2 linked regions of the Ovis aries genome follow. The protein of the gene in region 2 purifies or fractionates together with the protein of the main gene of each other region. This does not show direct contact. Links are inferred from orthologs where the notes say so. Each region holds a gene or a part of one and is shown on either strand. Other genes may lie near its edges. The genes, in order: MTMR1 and SBF2.

Region 1 (3,811 bases), on a different chromosome or scaffold from region 2:
CACAGACGGTGGAGTGGGTGGCGTGGAGCAGAGGAGGGACAACACCTGGTGTAGATTTCAGTAAGGTCTCCATGGCTGCTGTGCGGATGACAGACCGGAAGGGGAAGGAGTTGAATCAGAGAGTCTAGCAGGTGGGAGGCTGTTGCAGTCGTCAGAATGAGAGAGGATGGTGGCTTCGAGTGGAGCCGCGGGCTGGAGGAAAGGAGAAGTGGTCAAGCTTAACATATCATCTGAAGGACATCTGCAGGGTAGAGCCAGCAGGGTTTGCTGCAGGGTGGCAATTGTCTAGGAGAAGGGGAGAATTGAGGACAGTTCCAGTGTCTTTAGCTTGTGGAAGATGGTGTGGCCGAGATGGAGAAGCCTCTAAGTGGAACAGGGTTAGGAAGTTAGCAGGCACTCACCCTGGATAGAACAGCAATGAGATGTCAGTTGGATGTCCCAGAGCAAATATCAAAGAGGCAGTTGGTTTGTTTAGGCCTGGAGTTCAGAGGTGGTGTCTGGTTTGGAGACCTGAATTTGGGAGTCACTGGCATAGAGGTGGAGCTTAAATTCATGAGGCAGGAGAACCCGGACAAATGATGGGTGTCTCTCTCTGGAAAAGGGAGTTGGAATAGGAGTGGGCAAGGTGCCTTCTCATGATACTTAGCAGGTAAGAGTGACAAGACTTGAGCATTCAGATGTGAGAGTGAAAAGGAGTATGGGCCCCAAGGTAAATGTCAGCCCTGGAGTCTGAGGTCCCTGGGTGAGGTTCTGCTTTTCCCTGGCTTAGGAAACATGAGGGTGGAGGAACAGGTTGCAGGCTGGGTGACTGAGACTAGTTTAGACACGTGGAGCTGGCAGGGGTTCTGGGACTGACTAGTGGAGCTGTCCCATGGGATCCTGGGCCTCTGGATCAAGAGCATCCAGGCTGGAGAAGCAAAGCTGGGGACCCCCAGGCTGCAGCTGGCTATTGTCACCAGGAGCGTGCAGGGAGATTACGCTGTGCAAAGAGCAGAGACAGGAGAGGAAACATGGCCTTCTCAGTCCTGTCCTTGTGCCCAGAGTAGACCCTGGCTCTGCAGGTGTGGCTCAGCCGTGGACTGTGGGCCCTCCTCTCTCTTCTGAATACTGTACTTCTCTAAATGCTGACAAAGCTGTGGGCCTGCGAAAGGATGTGGTTTGCTCAAGCTGGTGACAGAAACAGGACCCGGATCCAGGCCTCCTGTCTACCAGTCCACCATACCACACTGTTAATAACTCTGTTGGCCAGGATGCTTTTGGTTGCAGGGATAAAAACCACAAATCATTCTAGTTCCGGCTGGGAAGGAAATTTCTTGGCTCCATCACTGCTGCGGACAGGGGGAAAGATGGCCACGGGCATGTTACAGCCAGAATTGCAAGCACTGTGGTTGGGGCTCCCCATTCTCTGTTTTTGTTTTTGTTTTTTTCCTTGTCTTACTCTTTATCTCTGTGGGTTCCTCAAGGTGGTGGGGTGGGAGTGGCCTTCAGTAGCACTGAGGCTGGGAACACCTCTGATCCAATGGGAAAGCTTGGGATTGGCCTGGCGACCTGGGTTAGTCCCCTCCAAGTGGGGGCGGGAAGGGAGTGTCCCCTTCCTTCTCCTGCTGATGAAATGGGGAGGGGCAATTTCCTACAGTTCTCAGAGGCATCCTTATCAGAAGGAAGGAGAGAGGATGCTTGGCAGAGGGTAACAGCAGCCCTCCCACCCCCGTGGTGGGTGAACAGGCAGGTTCCTACTGTTAGATTTGCTATCAGGAGTGGGTGCTGACGGAAAAAAGTGTAGTATGCCAAGAGAAGTATGATAGAACTAGGCAATAAAGGTGACTTAGCCTTTAAAAGGAAACCAATCTCCCTCCTTTCCCCCTCCTCCTTTCTCTTAAGTTATTAAATGTGGGAAATAGGCTCTTAGAGTATGATAGGAATGTCTGCCCATTCAGTGAATATTCTGACTTATATTTCCAGCCCCGCAGACAACCATTATGCATTACATTTTTAGATTTGATTATAATAAATGCCTATATTTTTTTATTATCTTTTTCTGGGCTGTCTTGGTCAGAGAATATAATTTAGATCACTGGTAGAGCATGCCAAGTGTCTTTATTTTACTATTTAGGTGATTTTACACACTGCCTAGGGATTCCAGATTTTTCTGTCCTTCCAATACACAAGTGTGGATTTCATTAGTGATGAGATTTTCAAAGGTCTGAAACATTCTTCGCAGTGAAAGCTACCTGTGAGATAAACTCTCATAAGTATCTTATGCCCTTTAACTTGATTTCTTCTGTGCTTTCGTGAGTTGAGAGAGGAGCCTGGCCTCTGGAGGCCATTTTTAATTCCCTCAGTGCCTAGATTGCTGACATGGTCCTTTAAGTCAGGTGAGAAGAGCCTGACCACTTACCAACCACGGGACCTTGGTCAAACACTAGAGCCTTAGTTTTCTCCTCTGTAGGGTGGGTCACTGTGAGGCTCGGGTGAGGCCATGTGCAGAAATGTGTTGGACACTTGAGAGCAGCCTGCAAGTGGGAGATGCCGTCTTCTCTGCATTGTTGTGTTCTTGTATAAGGCAGTGGCGGGCATCTGTGGCACTGGCCTGGGTTTTTGCCCTCTGGCTCCATGAGTTGGTCATTACTGGTGGTATTGCATCCTGGAAGGACAGCCCCAGTGGAGCTGGAGGCAGGCCTACCACTTTCTGATGGGCCTTGTCACTTCTGCACCTCAATTTTCTCATCTCAAACCTGTCGGCTCGTCCCTGTTCTGCCTTCTTATCACTTGTGGTTGTCAGACTCTGATATAATAATGGACTGGTAGAGCCTTTTGTAAGTTGTCAAAGCACTTACAGAAATGTAAGGTTGCATTATTACTACACATAGGACATAACTTCTCTAATCTGTTCTTTCTAAAATCCTGCAATCAGCTTTGTTCCATTAACAGTCAATTTGATTCATTTGAAATTAATCTCATTTTATAGATTTAAAGCTACCAACATGAAATTGATTGCACTTGTGAAGAGCATATGCTGTAAGATAAATATTTCATTTTAGAATTAATTTTCTACTTACACTGAGAATATTCACTCTGTATAGTTATAACTGAGTAATATTTCATTAAAGGCTAGAAAATAACATGCTTAACTGTCTGAGGTCTAGAATCTTAACCTTAAAATAAATTAGTTGGTTTATTTCAAATCACCTTGGAACCTACTCTTACTTCCTAGTTGTCAGTCGGTATTTCAGTTCTTATAGTAAATGTAAAGGTAACCAAATAGCCTAATTGAAGTTCGTTTTCGAAAAAAGAAGTGTACATATATCCCTAGTCCGTGCTCATTTTTCTCAGAGCCTATGTCTTAAAATATTTTAATTGCACTATTTCTTTTAGTCCTACAGGATCACATGTTGAATGGTGTAAACAGCTTATAGCTGCTACAATTTCTAGTCAGATTTCAGGTTCAGTGACATCAGAAAATGTATCCAGAGATTACAAGGTAAGCAGAATTGAGTCCTTAATTCATTTTCAATATACTGAGTAGGCAAGAAGCTTTGCAAATTTAATTCAAATAAGACTTTGGCCCCCTGATGCTCACTGGCCATTTGCTTGGGAACAAGGGTGAAATGTCCTCTGTTGTTAGATCTGAACTTTAGAAGAGACATTTTTACCAGGATCAAGTATATGTGATCATAGTTTCATAACCAAGAGGAAAAGTTGACTTGATTATGATCATTCTTTTGAAAATCCAGTTCCACTTTATTATCTTATTATATATTTTATTATGTATTACATTTTTAGATTTGATTATAATAAATGCCTATATTTT
Region 2 (4,394 bases):
GTTAAACAGTGGAATAGGCAGCCTCCCAAGGAAGTTAAATTAAGCTTTACTGAAAGTGATCAAGCTAGATGAGCTCTCAGGGAAGTTACAGAGAAGATTCTTACTTGAGGTGTGACTAAAGCATTTTAGTTTAATTATTTTCAAGACCTATCTGCTATCTTCCCTCCACATCTGCAACTAGGTTGATTCAGTTTGACCATAAGCAATTTGCAAATGAACTCCCTGAGTTCAAGTATTCAAGGAGTTTCAGTTCTAGTGCAGCCCAACCCTCTCCATCTGTAGGTGAAAAAAGTGCCACACACACAGAAAGAGGAAATGATCAATGAGAGTAAACTTTCAGTAGCCGAGACACCAAATCTCTGAACTTTCAATTCAGTGTTCGACCCACTGCAGCTTTCTGCTGGTAGCTGGGGGAATTTGTATATTCACTCATCAAACATACTTAAAAGACCCTCTGCTAAGAGTAAATGGTAAAGGTTAAACCCTCAATTAATAATGAGTAGTGATAAGCAACTAGGATGATGATCACATTTGCAAACTATGAAGATTTCCCAAACTTCCCTTGTAACATATCCTGCTACCAAAACTTCATGAGATACTAAGAGAGGGCAAAGCATGCTCACCTGGGTTTCTCACTTGCCGAATTCCAAACAATAAGAGGTGCAGTAACAAGAAAGTGACCTATATAATTCCTAGATTGGATGATGATACACACGAATTCATTTTCATTGCATTGTTTGAACAGGGACGTTGAATTCACCACCTGCTTCTGCAGCAAGAGCACTGGGACCGCTGCAGGGGGCGAAAACCTAGGCGGGAAGAACTCTTTGGGGAGAGACAAGCCTTCTCCCTCGGACTCGGTTGTTCCGGGCCAGTTCAGGAGGATCCCGGGGATGCCGCATTCTTTGGAGGAATTCAGCCTCCCCAGGCGCTCTGGGGGAAGCCCAGGCCAACAGCCCCCAGCCCACCCAGCACTAAAGCACGAGGCGCCTCCGAGGATTGCGCAAAAGCCTCTCCCTCCTCCGCCTGCTCGGTGGCATGTTCCTAAAATTCCCATCTGCACAACATAAACAGGAAACGTGCAGCAAAAGCCCTGGCGGTGCAAATTCCAGGCTTCCAGTCGAGGGCGGGAGAATCTTGTCTTGGGAAGGCGGGTGACCGGGTGGAGGGGCCGTTGAAGGTTGGGGTGGGGAGGGGAAGCAGCAAACTTTCCAGGAGACCCCCTCATCTATCCCTGTCTCTTCTTCCCAGACCCAGAAAGAAAGAGTGGAAAGGACGGAAGGAAAGACACCCTGCTTTAGGAAAAACAGGGGGGCGGGAGGTGGGCCGCGGAGGGGCAGCCGGGCCTCAAAGTGAAGCACCCCGAGAGGCTGCTGTGACAGTAGGAATACACTAGGCTGCCTACTCCCAAGATCCGCTGTCCGAGCGGCCGGGGAGGGTGGGGGTGGGCTCTCCGCCCGGGCTTGGGTCAATGAGGCAGCGCGGGTGGGGGCGGGGAAGCAGCGGGCGCTAAGAGCGGCGCAGGCGCAGAGCGCGCCTCGGTTGTCAAACATGGCTGAAGGGCCGCCGCTGCCGCTACTGCTGCTGCAGGGAAAATGCTGAGCCCTCCCGGGCCCGGTGGGCGGCGGCGGCGAGGGCGGCGACGGGCACCTGCTTCTCGGGCGCGGCGGCGGAGGCCATGGCCAGGCTGGCCGACTACTTCATCGTAGTCGGCTACGACCACGAGAAGCCAGGTAAGGGTGTGGGGCGGGCGCCGCCCCCGGGCCTCCCTGCCCCCGCCCCCCGGCTGCCGTCCAGTGGGCTTCTCTGGGCTGGGCATCGCGGCCGGGAGGCGGGGAGGGCCGGTCCCGGCCCCGGTGGAGCTGGCACTCGGCGTCGGGCCTTCATGGCCCGGCTGAGCCTCGCGGTGGGCGTGAGGGGCCGGCACGAGGGGCGGCGGAGGACGAGGAGGAGGCGGCCTCGTCCTCCGGGCCCCGGGCGGCCCGGCTGAGGCGACTGGGTGCCGTGGCTCTCGCTCTGACGAGGGCCGGGTACCAGGGGCATCGCCCCGGTGCCGACGGGCTTGGGTCAGGGCTTCAGGGCTGGGAGGGCGGGAGCCAACTGTGCTAAGTTCCTCGGGGATAAACTTCTGCCTAGCATCCTGAGTGAGTAACGCATGACGCAGGGGGCTGTCCTCTCCGAAAGGAAGTGCTGAGAGTCCAGTGCTACCTCACCCCTGAGCTGGTGGGGGCCCGTCTAGTCACCGCGCCCGTGGACTCATGGTACCGAGAGAGGGCAAGTGAGCCTTGAACTTATGAACATTTCTAGGAAATGCTCCTTGTTCTTTCAGGACAAATCTGACGGTCATTTCAAAAGGAGTCTGAATACGATCTTTTAAGTAAGGACCGTCAGCACATCGCTGCAGGTGATCCTGTTTCACTTTAATGAGTGTTTTAATTAGTCTTTTCATTCGTCGCAGAATTATCCTCTTAGGTAACAATCTGGCGGATGTATTTTAATGGAGAGATTTCCACAGTTTAAGATAATTCACCGTTTATACACGTTTATTTTTGTATTCCTTTTGTATTACTGTGTAGCTAAGCATAAGGTAACGAATTGGGGAAGCACATCTATTTCAGGGTAACTTCAGGGTAATTTACAAGAAATTTAACGTCTCAGCTAGACAGCCCTTCCTTTTTCAGAGGAGATGCTGAGGTTGTGTTTTGCTGATGGTTACAGCCGTTTGTAGCTTCAGAATACCATTGTTCTTCCCACTCTTGGTGGACTGCCCCTTTCACTATTCCTCTCCTAATAACTTCCTTTAGTGGGGACTTTTTATAGTCTTTAATTATTCTTGACCTGATTGAGATTAGCAAGAGAAGGGTTGGGCTATATTTAAAATATTTTCGGGCTACACAAAGTTTTATTTATTTCCTAGTAATTTTGCATAGTCTGCTCTCTCTTTCTTGCCAAGGTTGACAATATGGAGAAGCAGAGTTTGTATTTAACATTGTTTCATTTTTAGTGACTTTGAGTTTTTTCTCACTTAGAAAAAATGGAAACAATCAAAAACTTGCAGAAAACTTGCAAGTATGGTACAAAGAACCTTTTCCTCCCTGAACCATTAGGAAGTGCTGACATGATGCCTTCCCTATCACCCGAGGTTGTGTATTTTCTACAAACAAGGATATTCCCCTGCATGATCAGAGTGCAATCATCAAAAATCAGGAAATTTACACTGACAAAGTACTTCATGTAGCTCTCAGATTGAAACAGTGTATCTCAGATTGGGACTTGAGCCCACCTGCGAAACTGGAACCCAGTGAAAACCCACCATCTGTTAACTGTGATCACACACACCTGGTTTCAGGACTAATGAAGCTCAGGTTCTTGATGTGTCATCACAGAAAGAATTCAGTGAGAGACAAATTGATAGATAAGTGGGTTTATTTGGAGAGAAACACTCCACAACCAACCCTGAATATTTATTGTAAGGACTGATGCTGAAGCTCCAATACTTTGGTCACCTGATAGAAGAGGCAGTTCATTGGATAAGACCCTGATGCTGGGAAAGATTGAAGGTGAAAGGAGAATGTGGTGGCAGAGGATGAGTTGGTTAGATAGCATCACAGACTCAATTGGACATGAACTTGGGCAAACTCTGGGAGATAGCGGAGGCATTGCTGCAGTCCATTGGGGTAAAAAGAATCAAACCCGACTTAGTGAGTGAACAACATACTCCACAAGCAGAGCGTGGACCATTTCCGAAGAGAACAGCCTTGAATTATGGCTTGGTTAGTTTTTATGGGCTGGATAATTTCATAGGCTAATGAGTAGGAGGATTATTGTTTTGGGGAAGGGGTGGAAATTTCCAGGAATCGGGCCATTGCTCACTTTTTGGTCTTTGGTGGCTGGCTTCAAACCTGTCATGGCGCTGGAAGGTATGTCACTTAGCTTGCTGATGTGTTACAGTGAGCGTTATACTGAAGCTCAAGGTGTAGTGGAAGTCAGCTTGTTCGCCATCTTGGACCTATTTGGTTCTAATCTAATTGTCGTGTCCTCAGGCTGTATCATTCTGTTAAAGTTTATGCCCTGCCCCCGCCCCTCCTGTTTCAGTACTGGTTCAAGTTTTGTTGATTATGCCGTCTCTTTACTGGCAAAAGAATCTGGTTCAGAATCATATATTGCATTTATTTGCCATAGGGCCATCTCATCACAGGTGAGGCAAGCTCTTGGATAGCTAGCTTTGGAGCTCAGCTGAGGAATCATACTGATATTCAGGAGTTTATTGCTTGCATACTTGATGGTGATGAATTTCATTAAGTTCTCATTTACTTTCAGTACATTTTTGGCCGTATGCTTCATGACTTCTTCAATCTGAAATGATTCCCTCATCTTCTCTTGATTTTCGTAAT

What was found.
Region 1: the proteins of SBF2 (region 2) and MTMR1 purify together in Homo sapiens (affinity purification with mass spectrometry; 3 studies listed by BioGRID and IntAct, with this or other methods). This does not show direct contact. The link is inferred for Ovis aries from reciprocal best matches to the Homo sapiens genes SBF2 and MTMR1.

The regions. Positions count from the first base shown.
Region 1 is NC_056080.1:84,850,549-84,854,359, reverse strand, and holds part of MTMR1 (myotubularin-related protein 1), read left to right. Parts: intron 1-3,375; coding exon 3,376-3,481; intron 3,482-3,811. UniProt on the Homo sapiens protein: Lipid phosphatase that specifically dephosphorylates the D-3 position of phosphatidylinositol 3-phosphate, generating phosphatidylinositol. Could also dephosphorylate phosphatidylinositol 3,5-bisphosphate to produce phosphatidylinositol 5-phosphate.
Region 2 is NC_056068.1:42,097,541-42,101,934, forward strand, and holds the start of SBF2 (myotubularin-related protein 13), read left to right. Parts: upstream 1-1,540; 5' UTR 1,541-1,678; coding exon 1,679-1,733; intron 1,734-2,329; exon of another isoform or gene 2,330-2,404; intron 2,405-4,394. UniProt on the Homo sapiens protein: Guanine nucleotide exchange factor (GEF) which activates RAB21 and possibly RAB28. Promotes the exchange of GDP to GTP, converting inactive GDP-bound Rab proteins into their active GTP-bound form.